Drosophila melanogaster: one gene and its partners. The protein of the gene in region 4 purifies or fractionates together with the protein of the main gene of each other region. This does not show direct contact. Each region holds a gene or a part of one and is shown on either strand. Other genes may lie near its edges. The genes, in order: CG10214, CG4949, CG4461 and Hsp60A.

What was found.
Region 1: the proteins of Hsp60A (region 4) and CG10214 purify together in Drosophila melanogaster (affinity purification with mass spectrometry, with the first as the bait; one large-scale study listed by BioGRID). This does not show direct contact.
Region 2: the proteins of Hsp60A (region 4) and CG4949 purify together in Drosophila melanogaster (affinity purification with mass spectrometry, with the first as the bait; one large-scale study listed by BioGRID). This does not show direct contact.
Region 3: the proteins of Hsp60A (region 4) and CG4461 purify together in Drosophila melanogaster (affinity purification with mass spectrometry, with the first as the bait; one large-scale study listed by BioGRID). This does not show direct contact.

Annotation. Positions count from the first base shown.
Region 1 is NT_033777.3:23,764,576-23,769,114, reverse strand, and holds CG10214 (uncharacterized protein), read left to right. Parts: upstream 1-1,626; 5' UTR 1,627-1,716; coding exon 1,717-2,352; 3' UTR 2,353-2,591; downstream 2,592-4,539. Other genes in the region: tst (twister), read left to right, coding at 1-75; CG10375 (uncharacterized protein), read right to left, coding at 284-658, 786-1,106, 1,245-1,313; Lsd-1 (lipid storage droplet-1), read right to left, coding at 2,592-2,741, 2,808-2,985, 3,049-3,239, 3,419-3,603, 3,937-4,014, 4,156-4,366, 4,431-4,539. UniProt on the Drosophila melanogaster protein: 3'-to-5' exoribonuclease specific for small oligoribonucleotides.
Region 2 is NC_004354.4:17,076,217-17,082,256, forward strand, and holds CG4949 (uncharacterized protein), read left to right. Parts: upstream 1-2,623; 5' UTR 2,624-2,717; coding exon 2,718-2,792; intron 2,793-2,851; coding exon 2,852-3,370; 3' UTR 3,371-4,206; coding exon of another isoform or gene 4,207-4,370; 3' UTR 4,371-4,463; coding exon of another isoform or gene 4,464-4,653; 3' UTR 4,654-4,742; downstream 4,743-6,040. Other genes in the region: CG8945 (uncharacterized protein), read right to left, coding at 4,207-4,370, 4,464-4,653, 4,743-5,104; CG4955 (uncharacterized protein), read left to right, coding at 5,368-6,040.
Region 3 is NT_037436.4:9,372,945-9,377,449, reverse strand, and holds CG4461 (uncharacterized protein), read right to left. Parts: upstream 2,021-4,505; 5' UTR 1,967-2,020; coding exon 1,364-1,966; 3' UTR 1,157-1,363; downstream 1-1,156. Other genes in the region: Hsp26 (heat shock protein 26), read left to right, coding at 262-888; Hsp22 (heat shock protein 22), read right to left, coding at 2,675-3,199; CG4456 (uncharacterized protein), read right to left, coding at 4,006-4,060, 4,129-4,288, 4,355-4,475.
Region 4 is NC_004354.4:11,106,299-11,113,848, forward strand, and holds Hsp60A (heat shock protein 60A), read left to right. Parts: upstream 1-2,183; 5' UTR 2,184-2,335; intron 2,336-3,504; exon of another isoform or gene 3,505-3,627; intron 3,628-3,742; coding exon 3,743-5,113; intron 5,114-5,176; coding exon 5,177-5,527; 3' UTR 5,528-6,010; downstream 6,011-7,550. Other genes in the region: CG42249 (uncharacterized protein), read left to right, coding at 893-1,050, 1,109-1,208, 1,271-1,622, 1,681-1,780; CG11122 (uncharacterized protein), read right to left, coding at 6,553-7,550. UniProt on the Drosophila melanogaster protein: Prevents misfolding and promotes the refolding and proper assembly of unfolded polypeptides generated under stress conditions.

The DNA of each region.
Region 1 (4,539 bases), on a different chromosome or scaffold from region 4:
TCGAAGATGGAGGAGGCGTCGGCTGCTATCAAGCGCGATATTGTTTTCACCGCATCCTTGTACACAGAACTGTGATCGAAGGAGATGGTCCAAGCCATCCATTGTAGAAGGAAAGAGGCAAGACGGAAATGTGTTTCTTACATCTATATTTTATGCACGTGTCAATTACAATTCCAAAGGATACTTATAAAAAAAATGTAAAAATATTCATGTGCAACGCGACGCGGTTTGGCGGAGGTGATCTGGCGATAGTGAAGGAGCGGCGCCGCGCTGGGAAGCTATATTATCGCGACTCGGGCTTAAATTTTGGTGGAACCATCATGCCGGTCATATGTTTTTGTTTCTTGGCTTTCTTGGACTTGCCGGCACCCGACTGAAAGTCATGCCAGCTGTTTACTCGGCTCTGGCGCGACTCTTCGAAGTTCTGCTGCCATTCGCGGTCCGCCTTTATCCGCTCCTCCTCCTCGATTTCCGTTTCGCGCTTTCGCTTTCGCTCCTCCTGGTCGCGTTGGTCGAGCTTTTGCCGTCGACGCTCCATGTCGGCAAACAGTTTCATGACCATAACGTAGATGGCGTGCTTGTACTTGGTGGGATCGTCCTCGGGTATTGGCTCAGTGGGCCGACCCTCTTTTTTAAGCTTTTTACGCTTTTCTGCAATCTGAAAGGTAACGAACAAATTAATATAATACAGTACAATAAAGAAAATGTGCCATTGCAATTGGATTTTCAATTATTCTAAAGCCGGACGATCATAGAGCTTAATGCTCCGAGGAACTGGAACTCACCATTTGATCCGTTCGCCCCTTTGCCTCCTCGTACACCTCCAGACACCTTTTGCGCGTGAGTTCGTTTTCGAGGATTTTCCAGGAACGCGACACAATATCGAATGCCATTTGAGCGCGCTCCTGGTTGTCGGGATTCTTGTCTGGATGGACGAGGATTGACAAGGTGCGGTATCGCTTTTTTATATCCGCCAATTCGACCTCGGGCTCGATTTGGAGCACCTCAAACGGATTGAGATTGAAGTACGTTGAACCTGGACGAAGTAAACGATCAATTTGTTGAGAAGGAGTTAAAACTGAATCACGTTTTTCAATTTCTTTCACCTGCAATATAGGCACAAAATCATTTACTAAAGTGTACATAATAACAAGGGTTTAGTTTATTTGGAGCGGCTGCCGTGCAAGGAGCCCGACCCAGTGTAGAATAAAAACTGAGCCTGCGGTTCCGTCCGCCACACTTACTTCTGTGTAGAATTCCTCGAAGTTGTCATGGGAGGTTCCCGGTTGGTCTCTGGCCGACGAGGAGGACATGCTGCAACAATAACGACACCTTTTGCGTTTTCCGTACAACAATTTTTGATAAAAATATCAACTCGACAGAGTGACCGTGCGCGGTTTGTTAGAAATTACCGTTCGCTGTAGTTAAAATGGCTCCAAGTCGTTATCGCATAAAACCTTTAACTTTAATTACAATTACTTTCGACTTTGGTGGATACAAATAAGAATGCTGAACAAATTATTCTGCAATTATTTGGGTATGAACATAATATTCGATTTGTTTTGTTCCTGTAATGACAGGAATCCCCCTTTCAGTGTTGGGCAATGTGCCTGTAGTGTGACCAGTTGTTATCGTAACGATACCATGTTATCAAACACATGGTAAAACCGCCGCATATTTACATTTAGCAAAAAGAAACCTGCGCTACAGCTATATATGCTTGCTCACCTTCGACGCGTCGGATTGTCCCTGAACCGCCAAATTCGGAGCCACATCGCATTCAATTCAAATGACAGAATGAGCAGCACCTGTGGCTTAGACACGGACATCGTGTGGATGGACTTGGAGATGACCGGGCTGGACATTGAAAAGGACAAAATCCTCGAGGTGGCCTGCATCATTACGGACCAGGACCTGAACGTGAAGTCGGAGGGACCATGCTTTGCCATCAACCATCCGCAGGAGGTCTACGACTCGATGAACGAGTGGTGCATGAAACATCATTACAATTCAGGTCTTATTGATCGATGCAAGAGCTCGGATGTGAATCTCGAAGAAGCCTCCAATCTAGTGCTATCCTATCTCGAGAAGAACATACCAAAGCGCGCCTGTCCGCTTGGTGGGAACTCCGTCTACACCGACCGACTATTCATTATGAAATTCATGCCATTGGTAGATGCTTACCTGCATTACCGCATCGTCGATGTGTCCACCATCAAGGAACTGGCCAAGCGATGGCATCCCGCAATTCTGGATTCCGCTCCCAAAAAATCTTTCACGCATCGTAGTCTGGACGACATCCGAGAAAGCATCAAAGAGCTTGCGTATTACAAAGCGAACTTATTTAAATAAATTAAAGCAAGAATTTAAAGCACCCTAGGAATTCTTTCAATACCTAATGCTTTATTGGCAATATGAGTCTATAATAATTTTGGATAAAAGTCCGCGTTGTATTGTTAAGCGTGAAGTTAGGCTTATATTATTGACAAATGCATTATGTTAAAAATAGATGTACAATATCGTTTAGTGTATTTTCCGTATATGCACGGAGAAACAGAAATAAAAATACGATAGCAATAAAGAATTCAATGCTAGTAGACGCCGTTGATGTTATTGTGGGTGGCTGAATAATGGTTCGGATCCTGCCTCCTCCGCGATGACCGGTGGTTGGAATTGCCGCCATCGCTGCCCGTCACCTTCTCGGCCTCCATGCGTCCGGATAGAAAGCTGGCCACGCGCTCCTGTCGAATATATTTAATATATATAATCATCTTCCGTCTGACTGCTAGTATCACATCCTTTCTTACCAGGTAGGCATTGGTCAGGCCCTGAAGGCTACCATAGAACGCCAGCATGCGCTTGAAAAGAGATTCAGCTTCCTCTTTGGAGATGGTTTTAACCTTGTCCAGCCGTGAGATTGTGATGATGCGGTGGTTGATATAGATAATATGGTGGGCAACCTCTGTTGTCGTGTGCGCCAGGTTTCTGTAAGGTTTGGTTCGAAGGGGTTCACATGGAAAGATAAGGATGGAGGCGGGATCTACCAACCTGGGTATGTTGGCTGCCACATGAGCACTGAAGTTCACTAGATGAACCACACGCCTAGCCGATTCGCGGGTCAGTAGCACAATCAACTGCTCCAGAGTGGCGGGCCTCGCTTGATTTTCGGGTTCATCTGCACTGAGATAGACCCACAGTTCCTTGGCCTTTTGAACGGCCTGCTTGGGATCGGTGGCAATCTGTGGAATGGGTTTCGTTTAAAAGTGTTATTTGGGTTACGGTTGTACACCAGAATACAAACAGACATTGCGTAATCATTTCGTAAGTAATTTGAATTGGTTACTGTAATCTTATGGTTTTTTTTTTTACCAAATGATACTCAAAAATTAAAGCAAATAGGTTACTGAATTTTACTGACCAATTCTGCGGCATAGAAGAGCACGTGGATCGCCTCCTTGCTCTGCTTTTTGAGGGCGCGAGCCTCTGCGATGGTTCTTTGGGTAAGGCGGCGCTTCAGTTTGCGGGAGAAGCGTTGACCATGATGGATCGCCTTGATGGCGCCCCTCTCGTCCGGCACGGCCTCGTTATCATCCTCCTGTGGGCCTGCAAGGCGGATACTCGGAATAAGTGTCTTATACAATTTTTTTTGAGCATGAGAGAGCAAATTCCGGCCAGAGCTCAGCTTATCGCAACTTTCTCTGGCTTCAGGTTTCAATGAATCCGCCGTTCCCCAGAGATAACCTTCCCGACAACGTGGGCATTTATAAATAAACTATGAGATGAGTGCACCTTAAGGTGATTTGCCTGGATGCTGACTTTTCAAATCACTTGCTTTCGCTTACTTTTTATGTAAAACTTTTGGCAAACTAAACTATCTTTCATATGATTTTGATTATCTCTAGTTATATGGAGAAATATGTAATTTTGCATACTAACTTTTGTGGCCAAACATTCGGTTTAATTGTTGTCGAATCGGCGAAAAGTTATCATTCAGGGCCGAAACCAATTTTTTCACTACAACAATTTTGAATTATAAATAGTTAGTTTAGTAAAAGTGCCAAAATATAAGAACTTCAGTTTAAAATAAAATGAAATGTAATAGATTCCCCAACATGCGTTTGAAGATTAACCCAGATGTGAGATACCAGGACTCACCATCGGTCTGATCCTGATCTGTTTGGATGGGCACCAGGTACTTGTCCACGAACTTATCGCCGACTGTGAAAGCGCCATCAATGCGCTCGGCTGCATAAGTGGTAAGTGGACTCTCGAGGACAGCATTACCGATTTGCTTGACAGAATCGGCGCGTTTCAGAACCGGACGCACCAGGTGATCGGACATGTACTCCTTGGTGTTCCAGTACATCTTCAAGCAGAGAATTATGCCCTTTTGTCAGCGCATGGGGGGGAGTTACTAGCCGACTACTTACCATTTCGGGCGGCAGATAGACCAGTGGTATGCGCTGCTCCAGAATGTCCAGGCTTTTGCACATCACGTTGTCCAGGCGCTGAATGGATGGCTCGAAGAGCTTGACCGCC
Region 2 (6,040 bases), 6.0 Mb from region 4:
AAACGCACTGACCTGAATCGATTTTTGTCAAATTCTCTATTTTAAATCCCTTTGTTTGTGTTAGAAAATCAAATTTAAATATTAAACCCACTAAATAAATGCCAATTGTAAATCGATTTCCCAATTCCGATTGAGCTTTATTTTATCAACAGAAGCGCTTATCAATTGCCGGCATTGATTTGTTGACAGTCATTAATTTTAGTTGCTCTGCGTTTAACGGACAATCGAAAGCCGGCTAAAAAGCGATGGTAAATAAACAAACAGCGAAACGCGTTTGATAAACAATGGATATGAACTAATTTTGCGGTGCAATAAGCAACTGTAAATGTTACAAGAACTATTTTTTTTTTTTTGGCCTTTTGCCAGCTGAGCGCGTGCGAGCGAGAGGCAACTATTGTGTGGTGAAAAGACGAAAAACATGAATAGCGCGAGAAGATGGATAAGTGGGAAAATCAAAGCAAGAAACATAGGGAAAACAAATTTATTTACGAAAATCACTTAATTAGGGTAAACGGAGAAAATTTGAGGATAAAAAGGAAACGCGGGCACTGCGAGTTAGAGCGAGATGGCAGTAGGACAGAACGTAAACAAAAAAATATACAATTATGAGTGTGCTAGTTTGCCTGTGTGTGTGTGATTGTGAGTACGTTGGGAATCACTGTTATTGCCGATATTACGGTAGATTGAAAATAATATTTGATATATTACCCATCGTTCATACGCTGCGGTTTTCTAGCATGCATTACCATCAATGCAAGTTTTTCGCCAAATACGCTGCTGCTGCTTCTGTTGGTTTTCCCTCTCTCTCCTGCTCCTCCTCCTGCTGCTGCTTCTTCCGCTGCTGCTGCTGCTGCTGCTGCTTATGCGTCTGCTTCCTCTTCTCCTTCGTCGACTGCTGTTGCTGGTAGTGCTGCTGCTGCTTCCTCTTCTCGTGGAGAAGATAATGCAGCCTTATTCCGATTTTATCCAATATTCTGGGGCCTTTGGCGCCTCCTGTTTGCTCCTCCTTTTGCCTCCACCGCTTCCTCTTCTTCTTCTCACCTGCCAAGGCACGCTCGCTTGTATGTGTGTGTGTGTGTGTTGTGGTCTGCTTGTATGGGAGGCTCTCAGTGGCATGTGTGTGTGTGTGCTTTTCGTCTGTGTGGCCCGCTGACTCGGTGTTTGTGTGGCGTATATGTGTGCCTGAATTGCGGTCGCCTTATTATCGGCTTATTTTGCTGCCTCCTAAAAGTACAAACATTCATAGCAATCCTTTAGACAGCTTCCTTTTTGTCCTCTCCTTAATGCAATTAGCATTCGGAACGCCTTTAATTTTTCACTTAAAGCACACACGGCATTCGCCTCTGCGTGCACGACCGTGAGTGACTGTGTGCGTGCGTCTGTGCATGTGTGTGTGGTGTCGCTTGATCCGTATTTCGTTTGACTTCTTTTCAATTTTACTCCCTTTTTTTCTTGGTACCTTACCGCAATTCGCAATTTGCCGCTCGCCTTCTTTGCTGGGCTGCAATCGCCGCATTTATTTGCTCAGCATTGAACGACAATTGTTTAATTATATGCCGACTTGCTGTGTTCGCTTTTTGGCCTCTATACTTGATGATTTTTTTCAATTCTTTTGCATTACGCTTTGTGCGGTCTGTTCGTCGGCACGGCTGTGTTGAGTTTGCCAGCAATCGGTCGCTGCGTGCGGCTATCCCTCTCGCGCGGCACGCTATGCGGGTGCGAGAAGAGTTCGGCTATATGTGCCAATTGGCTGGTTGATATGGTGGACTCTAGGTGGCGCCCCGTTTGTGGTATTTTTTAGTGCCTGACACCGCTAGGCGTTGGACGGATTGCAAAATGGTCACTCTGTAGCCGGGGATGCCAACTAGGTTCGCATTTAAATTCTTTTTTGGTTACTGTTAAATAATAAATATATATATAAAAACATAACTTTTAACTTTTAACTTTTAATTTGACTTTTGTTATTGTACATATTATGTATATACGCAATAGCTGATCTTTATAAACTTTCGATGATACTGAAATAGTTTTAGATATAGATAGTTTATATTAATTTATCATATATTGCACAACATCATTTCGATAGTATCGCATAATCATTTCGGGCACACTGCTCAAGGGTATTCCTATCGGATGTATTGTTTCTCGATAAGCCGACTTAAAAATTATATGTTTTTTAAAAAAAATTATATATACATATTTACACTTGAGAAATAAGAAAAAGCATTTGCATATTATTAAATTCAATAATTTTTTAATTTAATATAAAACAAAAGAACAAAGAATGATAATTCAAACTGAAAAACAATGAGATTTCTTTTCATATGCAAGATCTTAAGGTGGTATAACTGGTAATAATAATTATTTGACCTGCTTTGCTAAATGCCCTTTCCGACTCCGACGAAGTTGTCCATCGACTTGCGTCAGTTTCACCACAAACCCAAAATATATATGACTGCAAGCTAATATTTGAAAGTAATTAATTATTTGAATTAATTAAAATAGTTGAAGAAATTCTAGTGATTAACCTAAAAACATCGATAGTCTGAAATAAGCATCGATGTTTGGAATATTTAAAAAAAAACCTCGGTGCATCGATATTAGCATCGATGTTTCGGCACCTCTATTAAAAACTCATCCCGATACCGATAATAGCGGCAGAAGAATTTTAGAATTCCTTAAATATATATTGTTTAATTTGTAAGCATTTTTAAGGAATGAGTTTGAGCGACTGCAACAATAACTATATATATTTGACGGGCAGTGAGGATTACGCCCTTAATTTGGCAAAGGTAAGTTCTGAACATCGGATTCAGGTCGGTTTTTGAACATCAAATTGCATTTCTTTTAGCTATGCGAACGCTTTGCCACCAAAGAAAAGCGCGTCTTACTGATCACCAGTCGCCAGCAGGGAATGGCAAAGCGCTATCCATGGGAGGCCCATAACTGCAGCAAATACCTGACCATTCTGCAACTGGTGGATGTGGAGAGCACCCCGCTTCGCATGCTGGAAATGCAGGATAGCGCCGAATCCTTGCGCAGTCCCGATTTGATAGTCTTTGATCTGCAGTCGCTCGTTTTGGATGCACTACTGCGTCCTGTGATGCAGCAGTGCTCCACGAACAAAATGGTCCGGCAAATTGCCAAGTGCTCCGCATCCTTTGTGAATTACCGCGAAATCCTGGCCAATCTGGCGGAACAGAAGGCGGGCAAAAGCATCGACACCATTGTGGTCATGTCGCAGGAACCGTATCCCATGTCAGCAGCCCAGTTCAAGCTGCTTATTGGACTCTATTTCCACGGCAACGAGTGCCACACGAATTTTGCCAAGCTCTCGGCCAAGATCATGGTCTCCCAGAGATTCGCCTAGACGAAGGACAGAAGTTTGGAGCCACTACAGTGCCTTGGTAACCAGTTCCTGAGTTTAATCATAGCTGGCAGTATTGTAGTTATTCGCCGTATGCTCTTGCTTTTCAAACAATACTTACTTAGAACGTTTACCTTATGCATTATTAAAACATGCATTTTGTCAGGTTAGACGAATATTTTCAAAGCTGGAACGAATTTTCCAATCTCGAACGAATTTCGAGTTATTAAGACTGCATTTCCATTTTATTGACTTAAAGCTATTCATATTGCCTTCCCAAAAGATATCCAAATGGGGAACGGTCGAATATTTAAGAAAATGAATTTATAAAAGGCAAGGCACGCTATATTATATCCGCATATAATACTAAGACAGTGCGTACATTTGGCAAGAACTTAAGAAATACTGTACGTTGAAAATATCTCCCTACATGGCATCCATGCAAAATGTTATACGAAAGCGAAGCAATCGAATGCTCGATCAAATATAAGACTTTATTATAGTATACTATTTAGTCTAAAAGGGATTAAAACTACCAAAAAAAAATTGCTGATAATTAATTATAATATACATACATATAACAATAATATTTATTATGCTAAACGGAAATCTCAACTTAAGGGAATTTATATGAAATAAAAAAAAAATTTCGAATGCATAAGATACGTAAATGCAGCTAAAAGTATTGGAGAATGTATTCCGGAAATACGGCTAGTGATCTCCGGAACGCAAGCCACCAAAGCCCGTTTAAAAGGAACTAAAACTCATTCACATGTAGCCCCACCCCAAATCCCTGCTGCCTTCGTCTTCGATTGGAATCCGATCTCCGCATCCCAGCCTCATATGTAGTCCAGCATGCCGCTTATGATCTCAAAGGCATCCCGAGCCGTGGGCTCAATGGCGCTGCTGGGCAGCAGATAACCGTGCACTCCGTTGTCCGCCAGCTGGAGCGTGTAGCTGAAGGGAATTCCGATCTCGTAGGCGGCAAAAGCGTCCGCACAGCCTGGATAAATCAAGGAAGCCAAAGGATTGGCAAGGTCGGATAAAGATCTCTATTATATTCTACTTCGAAGCAAATAATATAAATATTACGCACCCGATCGCTGTTCAATTAGATCGTTGGATGCGTCGACCTTATATCGGGACTTACTACCCTTTTTGCGCAATCCATCGGTACCCACCATCGCCACGTCCAGAAAATCATCCAATCTTTCTGAATTGAAAGTGGAATTGGCCTTGACCGGATAGGATATCACCTGACCATAGGCCTGTAGGGAAATGTAAAGCTGCAAAAATAATGAATAAAGTTAATAAATCAAAAAATATATCTATTTTAGAGAGTTAATATAAAAATTATATATTGTTCTAAGCATACCTTTATCTGCGTCCTATAGTCCATAAGGAACTCAGATACTGCCTTGGTTTCCGGTTCAGAAAATGGCGCTGGACCGGCGTAGAACTCATTGCAGGGTGCCTTGGAGCTACCCCGTTTGCCCCAATGATACAGCCAGTTTCTGTCCAGGTCCACCCCGTAGCAGACCTTATCCGGACCCCGTTTTTGCTGGAGCCATGTCATCGCCGAGTCGAGGAGGCCACTGGGAGGTGGAGTCTGGTGCTGAGATCGCGACTTCTTCCAGAAACGATCGTACTCGTGGCTGTACGCATATCCGTCCGGATTCAGGACCGGCATTATGTACCATGTGGTGTTCCGGATGAACTCCACGTCCTCGTTGCTTTCTGTTGAGTAAACGTTTTATGGGTTATTTTTATACATAACTTTACATAATGCATATGAAATAAATGTTAATAAATATTAATTCTCTTAAGAAAATAAATACGTTGTTCAACCGATCAACGTAGCCGCTTTTCCCCAACTCAAATTACATTAGTTATCCCTTTGTCAGTCCGTTAGTCAGTATATTTGTAGACCCAGAAATCGATAGTGTATACTTTAGACCTTTACAGCTTGCCACTTCTCCTCCAGTTGGACCAAGATCAGAATGGAGAGGCGAAGACCCCGAAAGTCCTCGCGTAAATACGTGTGCTCCAAATCAAACTCTTCAGTTGGAGGAGGAGTAGAGGAAGACAGTGGCTCATCATTGCCTGCCACCGCCAAAGCGTTACTCCTCCAGCCGGACGGTAATAAAGCACCAACCATGACATCCCTTCTGGGCGAACGACTCAGAAGAGTTTCTCGCATCGCAAGAGCTCCGCACAGCCTACAAGTTACCGAAAATCCAGAAGAAGGTGGAGCACCAATCGTACCACTAAGAGAATCCGGCGCATCGGAAGTGTCAGAAGTAAATCCGGGGGTTATGGTCATTCCGGAGTCGGCCAGTCCCCGGGGATCGGCGGTGCATGGACAACACGCTAGCTTGGTCTTCAGTGCTGAAGCCAGGGATTCGGACAGTACGCGGATATCGGAGGAAATGGTGGAAGTGTTCCAAACCTCTTCGGCGAGAACCACATCCAATGAGCCCGCAGGGGGCAATCTGCGCTTTGAAACCACTCCCGTGGCTGTAAGCGAAAGTATGGTTGGCAATATAAACTTCTCCCCGAACGCCATCTACGATCAGAACAGGTATAGCAGCATGATGTCCAACGGGGATTACAATAATGGCAACAGGGGTGAGAGTGAGAGGAGCGTGGGAGCCTGCCACCATGGTTGGGCGG
Region 3 (4,505 bases), on a different chromosome or scaffold from region 4:
CCTTTTTCTGTCACTTTCCGGACTCTTCTAGAAAAGCTCCAGCGGGTATAAAAGCAGCGTCGCTTGACGAACAGAGCACAGATCGAATTCAAAAATCGAGCAGTGAACAACTCAAAGCAACTTTGCGCAAAAGCAAAACTTCAAACGAGAAAAAAAAGGATTAAAAACCTTTGCTTACAAGTCAAACAAGTTCATTCAACTTAACCAAAGAAAAAATATTTCAATCTCGCAAAAGGAACATAACCTAAAGGAAACGTAAAAATGTCGCTATCTACTCTGCTTTCGCTTGTGGATGAACTCCAGGAGCCCCGCAGCCCCATCTACGAGCTTGGACTGGGATTGCATCCGCATTCCCGCTACGTGCTGCCCCTTGGCACTCAGCAGCGCCGTTCCATCAACGGATGCCCTTGCGCATCGCCGATATGCCCATCGTCGCCCGCCGGCCAGGTTTTGGCTTTGCGGCGCGAGATGGCCAACCGCAACGACATTCACTGGCCGGCAACCGCCCATGTGGGCAAGGATGGATTCCAGGTGTGCATGGACGTCGCCCAGTTCAAGCCCAGTGAGCTCAACGTGAAGGTGGTGGACGACTCCATCTTGGTCGAGGGCAAGCATGAGGAACGCCAGGACGACCATGGTCACATCATGCGCCACTTTGTGCGCCGCTACAAGGTTCCCGATGGCTACAAGGCGGAGCAAGTGGTCTCGCAGCTGTCGTCGGATGGCGTGCTCACCGTCAGTATTCCCAAGCCGCAGGCCGTCGAGGACAAGTCCAAGGAGCGCATCATTCAAATTCAGCAAGTGGGACCCGCTCACCTCAACGTTAAGGCAAATGAAAGCGAGGTGAAGGGCAAGGAGAACGGAGCACCCAACGGCAAGGACAAGTAAAGGAGCCATCATCATCCAACATCATCCATCATCATTCCCCTACTTAATTGTTCCTAATTTATTGCATTGTATTTGTAATGAGCTAAAGACTAGAATACTCATATTAATTTAATAAATCCTTTTGTTCACCTGGTGTGGAAAATTAAAATTGTTGTGACTTTTGTATATGAAAGTTGGTTTTTGAAAGAGGCAAATATTTGGAAATATCGATTTGAAGATTTGAATTGGGCGCGACGAGGTGAAGACCCATTCGTAAACACCAGTGTTTCTACCAAATATTTATTGCGCATTTATTATATCAACTACGGGTACAATTTGTATTTTATTTATGTTTGAATCCAATTTAAATGTTCGGCTGCAATTGCTTGGTGTCCGAAAATAGTTCACCTTGAGTTAGGCGCATTCGATGGTTGGGATTTGGGTTTGGTAAAAACACATTCACTGTTTGCCTTCCTGATTTTTGACACATGGTCCACTATTTCCAGGGCAGGGCCAGCTTTCCGGTTTCATGAACGCGGACCAATCTCTCTCCGGGCGTGTAGTACTTGGCTGGCGGCGGTGGTGGAGCCTTGATGGTGAGGATGCCATCGCTGGATATGTCCGAGATTACCTCATTGGCATTGTATCCGCGGGGCAGAAGGTACTTCCTCACAAAGTGCCGCTCCACCAGGCCATTGGAACCCTCGTCGCGACGATTGTGATTTCCCTGGACGATGACATAGTCGTCATTGGTTTTGACCACAATGTCGTGGGGATGAAATTGTCGCACATCGATGTCAATCCGAAATCCCTTCTCATCCACATGGACACGCTCACCGGAATAGTAGTTGTCCCACCTCATTGGATGCGCCCACTCATACGGCGTCGATTGGATCAACTGGTTGCGCACTCGACGCGACACCAGCTCATCCAGAGGTCGGAGTAGGTCACTTCTGCTGGTGTGAGGCGATGGCCACCAGAGACGCGAATCGTCCCACAGATACGGATATAGCTGGAAATCATACGGCGGATGGTAGAGCGGACGGAGTCGATCAAATTCGCGCGACAAATCGCGATATGTGGTAGGCACCAGAGACATTTCTCGCCGGGATTAGGGCAGCGATTCGCTTATGTACGAGTCCGAAAATCTTATAAAATTTGTCGCCGCCGCCGTCAGTTCTTTTATAGATGGCCGACTGGCCTCGCCGGATGCGGATTGCGGATGGCGGATGATGGCGGAGACGATAGATGAGTCATCCGGACGAGGCGCATCGGATGGGATCGAAACGAATCGGATCGGATCGGCCAAGTGCAGCGGTGAAGGCGAGGCCAACGAGGTGCACACGACAATATAAACGGCCAGTTGGACCCGCGTCAAGTGGCTACGTCACTAGAATCATCGAAGGAAGCGGAAAAAGATGCTACATGACCAAGGTGTCAGACGAATGCAAACAAAATGGAAAGTATTTTTGGGGCTTTTAAATTGTATCTCCATCTAAGGCAATCATTAGATCTTCGAATGGATCCATTTTCATGACTTGACAGATACATATAAATTATATATAATAATCTATAATACTATCCATATCAAATGTGTTCCCAGTGAAAGAAATATTTTGATCATATAGTCTTTTCGAATATTTATTTTCTTCTACATAAAAATATTGGGCTTGCGGGCTACCGAATCACAATTGTTTTAAAATTAACTTGTTAATTTAACAAGAACTTAAATTTGATAGGTTTTGGAATATCTAAACATAGGAGTTCACTAGCATTTTATCGGTTTTAGTATAATCTTAACTTATTTCTACTGACTGGCGGCTTTGTCATTTGGCTCCTCGGCGGACTTCTTTGCCGGCTCGCCAGTCTGCTCGATGGTCACCTCACGCTCCTTGAGTGTCTCCTGCACGCCTGGAGGATTGGGCACACTGATGGTCAGGACGCCGTCGCTGCTCAGCGTTGAGGTCACCTTGTCCGCCTCGTATCCTTCCGGCAGGACGAAGCGGCGGAGGAAGTGCCTGGAGCTATAGCCACCTTGTTCGGCCTCCTGCTGCTCTGATTTTCCCTCCACCAGGACAACGCTCTCGTCCAGCACCTTGACCTTTAGCTCGCTGTAGTCCTTGACGTCCAGGGTGAGTTTGTAGCCATCCTTGTTGACGGTGGCCGGCGGAGCGAACTCCTGCTCCTGCCAGCGGGCAATCTGCTGCCAGTTCCTCGGTAGCGCCACACTCCAAACGGGCGGCTCGTGGAAGAAGGCGTGAAAGGGCGAGGAGAGGCGTGGCATCCGTGCCATCTCCTCGGCCATGCGCCAAAACATCGGTAAGGAACGCATTGTAGTTAATAAGGTAACTTGGTTTTTCCAACAAAAGCTTCTTATGCAAATTCGAATAATTTGATGAAATTCCGTCCAATTGTTGTCTTTGAAATACTTCTTGGCTTTTTTTTAAATTTTTCCTCTATGTTTCGAAGATAATCTTGTTGTCTGAAGTTTCAATCCTATGAAATTTCTATTTAGCTGGCGAAATTTTAATTTAGTTGACTTTCTTCGAGTTGTTAGCAGTTGGTTTGGTTTTTTTGAACTGAGAGCGCAGTGTCCAACCGGTGGCTATTTATACTCTTGGCAGAGAGGAAATCCATATAATCTAGAAAATACCGGCACTCTCTCGAATTTTCTTCGCCCTTTGCTGATGCAATTTTCCACTTTGCCTGAAATCGGGCAATGGCATTTAGTTAGGGGTTGTTCACTGTTCTTTAGCGAACTCCGTGGAAGTTTCTGGGGCTCTCTGGGTGTCCAAATATTACTTTATTTACCTTTTATTTTAGCATTTAGCGAAGTTCTCTCTCGCTGTTGCGCCTTGGGGAAGGTCAGTTTCCATACGCAGAGAGACAGATTGAGAGAGCTCCATTAGAGAGTGGGAGAGAGAAAGTTTTGTGGGAGTGCACAGCTTTCTGAGTGCGAGTGTATACGTGTGTGTATTGATAAGCTTGCCATGGGTGTAGTCAAGAACTTGAGATATATGAAAAATACAGCTTAATATTAACAAATAATTAAAGTTTTCTGTTTTTTTTAGCTATTAATAATTAATTAATTAATTAATATTAATCTTCATTTATTCAGAAATATAGCGACGTTTATCGTCAAAGTCCCTCCTTTTGAGCCCATTCATTCCAGGAGCCTTTGTAGATCACCACACTAAAATGAGCATACATATATGTATCCGATATAAACTATTGCAACTATAATACAATTTTAAAACTCACTTGCTGTATCCCTGACTTTTGGCAATTTTCTCTGCTTCCAAGACTCGATTTCCCGACCGGCAGGTGAATATGATTGGCGACTGCTTCTCCGGCTTCGATCTTCCGTACTTGTTTTTAAAAGCAGATCCATCCAGATTTAGAGCCTTGTCCAGTTCATCCACTAAGTAAATAAATAGTAATAAAACACATAGTAATAAAGCAAATACTAGGGAAAGTAGTTTATTACAGGGTATATTGATGCTGGCTGGAATGAAGCCCGTCTGCTGGAGCTCTTCCTTCCGTCGAACGTCGATAAGATACACATCCGGATGGTTGGGCACATCCTTAACCTGTTCGTACGTGGCCATTGTAGTTATGGGGCGGAGCACGAATTTCAA
Region 4 (7,550 bases):
TTCGCAAAAAAATTAAGATTATAAAAATCGGAAAATTCGAAAAAAAAAATTTTCCAGAAATAAATATACGAATTTCGGGATCGTTTATGTGGATCATAGGCTGCACAAAAAAGTCATTCTCTTGGTTGTGTGATCGTTTTTGACCGCGTTATAGCAAAAACTCCTCTAAAAATCTTCAATTGAATGTATCCCTCAGATCTTACGTACGCCCATATAGTCAGCATGTCGCCCTTCGAGAACACGCTGGTTTCCTACAATCTGCCGGGCAGCAAGATAGTGGAGGCCATGGAGTGGGCCCTGAGCAAAGTGGACCTCGAGAACGGGGTGACCGGATCGTACATCAATCTGCAGTTCTCGGGCATCCGGGCGAAGTACGACTACACGAAGCCGGTGGGATCGCGTGTCATATCCGTAACGATTCGTTGTGCGGACTGCGAGGTGCCCAAGTACGAGCCTCTGGTATCCGACAAGCTCTATCGCCTCACATCGCCCAACTTCCTGCAGGCTGGTGGCGATGGCTACACCATGCTCGCCGAGGGCACTGACCTCCAGTACGTACATACAGGCAGCTCATCTTGTGTCCCATGTTGTAATACCATTTGATTATTTACTGATTTCAGGTGGGGAGTCACGGACTTGGATGCCCTAATCTCGTACAGCAATCACATCAATCCCATTTACCAGGGCCTCGAGGGACGCATCACAGTGCTCAACTGATTATACATACATATGTATTATATCCATAATGTGCAATAATTGCATTTTCCACAATAAATTTATCAGGGAAAGTACACAAACATATCTTTTCTCTGGAAGATTATTGATGCTGGGGAATATGTTTGGAGGCAATGGTTGCATAATATAATCATATACCATTTAAAATCTCCCAAAGATGATATCGTTCTACAAGCCATGGTGCCTTGGCAACTCGAGATGAAACCCATTGCCGAGCGGACAGTGGGCCAGAGTCGCGTGAATCTCCAGCAGAGTCAGTGCAGCAGTGGGGAATGCAATCTGGGTAACTTCTTCACCGATGCTATGCTTCATGCGGTAAGTAGTGGTGGCTTCAACCCACTTGCAACTGACCTAGTCCAATGAGAATCTTCAGTTTGTCAAGGATGCTTCATCGTCGTCTGAAGAGAGTTGGAGTAACGTGACCATTGCCTTGACATCAACGGGAACTTTTCGAGTGCCTATTCCAGCTGGCAGTGAGTCCTGAAAACAACATGTATACCTTAATCGAACAATAAGACTAAGTATATCACTACAGACATCACCTACAAGCAATTGTTTGCCATGTGCCCATGGCAGAATAGACTGGTGACCCTCAGTCTGCGTGGTAAGCACATTGTGGAGCTGCTGGAGCATGTGGTGGCGCCCATGAATGCCAGTTCGGCCACGCCGCGTTCCTCCCGATTCCTCCAGGTTTCCGGTCTCCGTATCCGTTACGATTTGAACGCCGATCAGCGAGTATTCAGTGTGCGAGTAAGATGCTCCAAGTGCCTGGTGCCCAGGTATATTCCACTCGATTTGGAGCACAAGTACCGCGTGGTCGTCATGGAGTACCTGGCGAATGGGAAGAACGGATTTAGCGTAATCAGCGAAAATGCAGAAGATCCAGAGTAAGCATGTTAAACAATGTTGATTTTGAATAAAGTATTAAAAAGCTTTTTTTGCCAGGTTTGGTCCTTTCGACTTGGACGCCTTAATGGACTACATGAACTCCACCGGGCCAATTACGACTGCAATCGAGCAAAGGATTCAGTTTGTAACTACTTAGACTTTATAGTATGGTCGAAAAATGTAGTAAACCTATATAATAAAATATACATATGTATGGTTTCATTTTGAAAAAAAAAAACTTAGGCGCGAAACTATCGCTTTCCGCATCTAACATCTCTAGCATAACGTATAAAGCTTGCTGCGATAGTTATTCATTATTATATAATTGGATTATTAATAGTTGCGTTGGATTTGCATATTTGCTGTTAATACATTAATATATTAAATTGTTTTCTTTTCTATGGAAACCAGAAAACTTATTTATCGGCGAAAGCTCAATTTATTATAAATATTACTTGAATGCGAGTCCCCCATATGGCTGCCGATAATATTCGATTGCCCGACGCAAGCAATCGATAAGCGCCGGCTATTTTCGATGGCCAACGAATGGTCACACCGATACACATTAAGGTTAGGAAGTTCGGACCGCCTGTGCGCACATTTCGAAGCGAGTAAACTGTGGTGAAGTGGGCTTGTTGTTTCACATCAAATAGAATCGGAAGCGTTCGCTTAACTGTCTTGTCAATAATTCGCAGTACCAGTTTAATTCACAGTAAGTTCTAAACTTTTAAACAATTTCCAGAGCCATTCCCATTTGCCCAATTGCATTTCAAGTTTGTGTGCAAGTGTGTGTGTCCCATTGGCGATTATATAAGAGCGAACAATCTGGCCGATAGCCGGCAAATCGTGTTTCCAGAATGTTCTGTTCATTGATAACTGGAAAAGTAAACGATGTCTGCATTGTGCAGTAAATGATTACATTCCAACAAGAATTTATTAAATCCACCTCAAAACACACAAACACGCATACGGGCGCGCACATTGGAAAGCTGGTGGAAACTCAGTTGCACATGTTTTCCACTGCTTGCCGGCAATTTCACATTTATCAGACGGCATTGCATGTGCTGCTACTGCTTGCCCTGCTTCCTTTCTTTCTTTCCACTCTCGTTTGCGGAAATCTTTGATTCATTGAATAACATTCCCTCCCATTTTGGGAGCTACATATTAGTCTTTTGCCCAAGTGCTGGTTACATAAATCGTTTCTTCTGGAATGCTCGGTGCCAAGATGTTGTTCGTTCCCCGGGGGGTGGGGGTGGGCACTGGAATGAGGGGGCCTGGCCGGTACAGTGGAGCCTCGCTGCTGCAACGAATTAGTTTACATAATACTATCAGTAATACCTAAACTCATTGATTTGGTTTAATTTTTCAATTCAAAATAATGATGTTTATAAGGATGAGCAGAATCCATGTAAATATCTCATGTTGCCTGTGTTTTTAGAACTATTTCATCATTAAATTAGATAGAAACAATAGGTGATTACTGTTTAAATTCGTCTTATATTTTATTTTATTGTATTCACATTAATAACAACCTAAAAAAAAAACATTCTTTCTGCTTATGCAATTCTCACAGAGATATTAATTAGTTTATGTAATTTTCGAAAATTGTAATTTTTATAAACCGAAACTAGATGTATGTACATCTGTATTTATCTAATCCACGTGTTATATGCCATAAATTAGCTCAATGATTATGTTGATAATGAGTTTTTTGCATTGAGCTTTATTAAAAAAATGTATATTATTTTTTTTATAACTCTTTGAAAATTCCCAATTTTTGGAGCATTGTGCGTTTATGTAATTTCCATAAGTATCCGTGTAAATAACATTCCATTGGCTTTTGCTGTCAGTAATCTGAGAAGTTTACAGCTCTGATTATCGGAAAAGTCAAGCGAACTGCGTGTGTTAAACAGTGCTCACGCGTTGTATTCCCAATTTCACATTCAAGAACGAAGATTTTTGACCTTTGACCCGCTGGAAGCTTATCAACTAAGAAACTCCGGGGTAAACAACTCAAAGAAACCGCATCTTAGTTCTGCCCAAGGCGGAACACGTGCTTTGATTCATCTCTTGCTACCAGCCAGTTCTCATCATACCAATCCTCTCTGCTCTTCCACAGATGTTCCGTTTGCCAGTTTCGCTTGCTCGCTCCTCCATTAGCCGCCAGTTGGCCATGCGCGGCTATGCCAAGGATGTGCGTTTCGGACCCGAGGTGCGCGCCATGATGCTCCAGGGCGTCGATGTGCTGGCCGATGCTGTGGCAGTGACCATGGGCCCCAAGGGTCGCAATGTGATCATTGAGCAGTCGTGGGGCTCGCCCAAAATCACCAAGGACGGCGTCACTGTGGCCAAGTCCATTGAGCTGAAGGACAAGTTCCAGAACATCGGTGCCAAGCTGGTCCAGGATGTGGCCAACAATACCAACGAGGAGGCCGGTGATGGCACCACCACGGCCACCGTTCTGGCTCGCGCCATTGCCAAGGAGGGCTTCGAGAAGATCTCCAAGGGCGCCAATCCCGTCGAGATTCGTCGCGGTGTCATGCTGGCCGTTGAGACCGTCAAGGACAACCTTAAGACCATGTCGCGCCCCGTTAGCACGCCCGAGGAGATCGCCCAGGTGGCCACCATCTCGGCCAACGGTGATCAGGCCATCGGCAATCTCATCAGCGAGGCCATGAAGAAGGTGGGACGCGATGGCGTTATCACCGTCAAGGATGGCAAGACCCTCACCGATGAGTTGGAGGTTATCGAGGGCATGAAGTTCGATCGCGGCTACATCTCGCCGTACTTCATCAACTCCTCGAAGGGCGCCAAGGTGGAGTTCCAAGATGCCCTCCTCCTGCTGTCCGAGAAGAAGATCTCATCGGTGCAGAGCATCATTCCCGCTCTGGAGCTGGCCAATGCGCAGCGCAAGCCGCTGGTCATCATTGCCGAGGATATCGATGGTGAGGCCCTGAGCACCCTGGTGGTGAACCGCCTCAAGATCGGCCTTCAGGTGGCTGCCGTCAAGGCACCCGGCTTCGGCGACAACCGCAAGAGCACCCTCACCGATATGGCCATCGCCTCCGGCGGCATTGTCTTCGGCGATGATGCTGATCTCGTCAAGCTGGAGGACGTCAAGGTTAGCGATTTGGGCCAGGTCGGCGAGGTGGTGATCACCAAGGACGACACCCTGCTGCTGAAGGGCAAGGGCAAGAAGGACGATGTGCTCCGTCGCGCCAATCAGATCAAGGACCAGATCGAGGACACCACCTCCGAGTACGAGAAGGAGAAGCTGCAGGAGCGTCTGGCCCGCTTGGCCTCCGGCGTTGCCCTGCTGCGCGTTGGCGGCTCCAGCGAGGTGGAGGTCAACGAGAAGAAGGATCGCGTCCATGATGCCCTGAACGCCACCCGTGCTGCCGTCGAAGAGGGAATCGTTCCCGGAGGCGGCACCGCTCTGCTGCGTTGCATTGAGAAGCTCGAGGGTGTCGAGACCACCAACGAGGATCAGGTACGATTATCTATCTCTCTTTTCTGTTATTCGTGTATTAATGTCTATGAAATCTCATAACAGAAACTCGGCGTGGAGATTGTGCGTCGTGCCCTGCGCATGCCATGCATGACGATTGCCAAGAACGCCGGCGTTGATGGCGCCATGGTGGTGGCCAAGGTGGAGAATCAGGCCGGTGACTACGGCTACGATGCGCTGAAGGGCGAATACGGCAACCTGATCGAGAAGGGCATCATCGATCCCACCAAGGTGGTGCGCACCGCCATCACAGACGCCTCCGGTGTGGCCTCACTGCTGACCACCGCCGAGGCTGTCGTCACCGAGATCCCCAAGGAGGATGGCGCTCCTGCCATGCCCGGCATGGGTGGTATGGGCGGCATGGGAGGCATGGGCGGCATGGGTGGCATGATGTAAGCGACTGCCACTGACTGGTCGACAGCCGGAGAGGGGGAGGGAGATGTGATGAGAACCGAAACCAGCATACTGTTTAAGTCACGATGTGGAACGATGACGTCGCGTGGTCGGCGGCGAAAGCAGCTCATCAGTTATCAGTCATCAGCAGTCGGAGCGAGACCCACCAATATCTCTTACATCGGTGCATCCAGCCGGAGACACATCACCCACCATTTGACACGCATTCTAATCCTTGATGGAACTTTGTTTTGCTTCGCATTTATCCTTTGGCAAGAGCAGCGCAACATCAGCACACAAATCCAACACAACCGGCTGGGTGTGAGCTCGTCGAGACTGCAGCGTTCGCTCCGCCACACGCCGTCGCCTCCATTGTGCTCCACGTTTTTTTAACTATTCCTTAACTCTATTTTTTTTTACATGTTATATATGTAAAGATACCGCTAGTTGTAAAATATATTAAATAAATCCGAAGTTAAATTGAGGAAAAACCTGGACGGCTTGTATCTCTGGCGGTTCGCTACTGGGTTACTGGCATCCCAAATGAGAAGATCGGTCGTCCGCTTTGAATTGTTGTGCTCAAATTTATATTTGTTGCTCTTTCGCTTTTTTGTTTCTTTTGTTTATTAATTATAAATACATTTAATAAAAAAAACCTAAATAATGTAACGCTTAGATGTTTAAAAGAAAGAAAAATATGTTGCATATACTCCGCATACGGTTAATGGGTGCGGGGCCAGGAGGTGGCCTCTGCCAAGTGGGTGCTCCCGCTGCCGCTCCTACTCCAGCTGATCCCGATCCCGAACCAGATCCTGATCCTGATCCTGATCCCCTCCTGGCGCCGGCGTTAACGATTAACGATGACACAATGGCAGTACGTATGTGATCGATGGCGGCGATGGGTCGTCGGCTGCCCGCGCCGACTCCGCCCCTCGAGGCCTATGGCTATGACTTGTCTGGCGGGAGGAGACTGTGCTGTGCTCCTACGCCAGCTGTTGCTACGTCTGGTGACGCTGCTCCACCCACTCCTAGCACTTGCGCTTTGGCGTGCGCCGCTTGACACCGCAGTTGTCCACCTTTTTGCTGCCCTTGGCGATGGCCAGCAGCTTCACGAGCTTCTTGTGCGAATCGCCCACGATCCAGCCGTGCTTCTGGTACGTCTCGTTCTCCTCGAAGTGTTTACCCGGCGACGGTGACGCCTCCTCCGGCTCCAGTTCCGTTCGTTCGCCATCCCGCTGCTCGCTGCCAGCTCCAGCGCCGCGGGATTCACCGTCAGCGGCCTCCGTCTCGTCGTCCAGGCGTCCGAACTCATCGTCGCTGGAGCTGCTCCAGTAGTACAGCTGCTTCTCGCTGGCTGGCCGCTTTCTGCGCGCCGGCGACTGGCGGCTGGTCTGCGATTTTCGCTTGGCCTTCAGATTCTTATTGCTGCTGCTGCTGTTGTTGTTGTTATTGGTGGTGCTGCTGGGGGTGGCGACAGAGCTACTCCGCGGATGCGGTGCAGGCGGCAGTGTCTGCTGCTGATTGCCGTGCTGCCGCACCTTGCTCCTCTCTCTTTGCGCTTCCGGTGCAGCTGCGGGCAGTGGTGGTTGTGCTGGTGGCGGTGGTGTTGGCGCTATTGGTTCCTTCTCCGTTTCATTGGCCTTCACCTTAGGCTGCTGCCTGGAGCTGCGCGTCCTGTCTGGTGGTTCAACTTCCACCTCCGCCTGCTCCTGCTCCTCCTCCTCCTCCTCATCCTCCCTACTTTCCTGCACCCTTGACTTCTCATTAAATCGCTTTTTGCGATTGTTTGTCGCCTTGGTCACTGGAGTTTTGCTCTTGGCCGCTGCTTTGGACTTTCCCCTTGCAGGCGGAGTTAGCACTTCTGGCGCAGGCGCTGGCGGTGCCTGGACAACAGGAGGCACATGTGCTGGTGCTGGCGGCGGTGGCTGGTTCCTTTGCCTGGCACGTGGTTTTGGTTGCTCCGGCTCGGCAGGTGCAGCCTTCTTTTCGCTGGCGCGATTCTTTCGTTTACCTGCAGTCGCCTGTG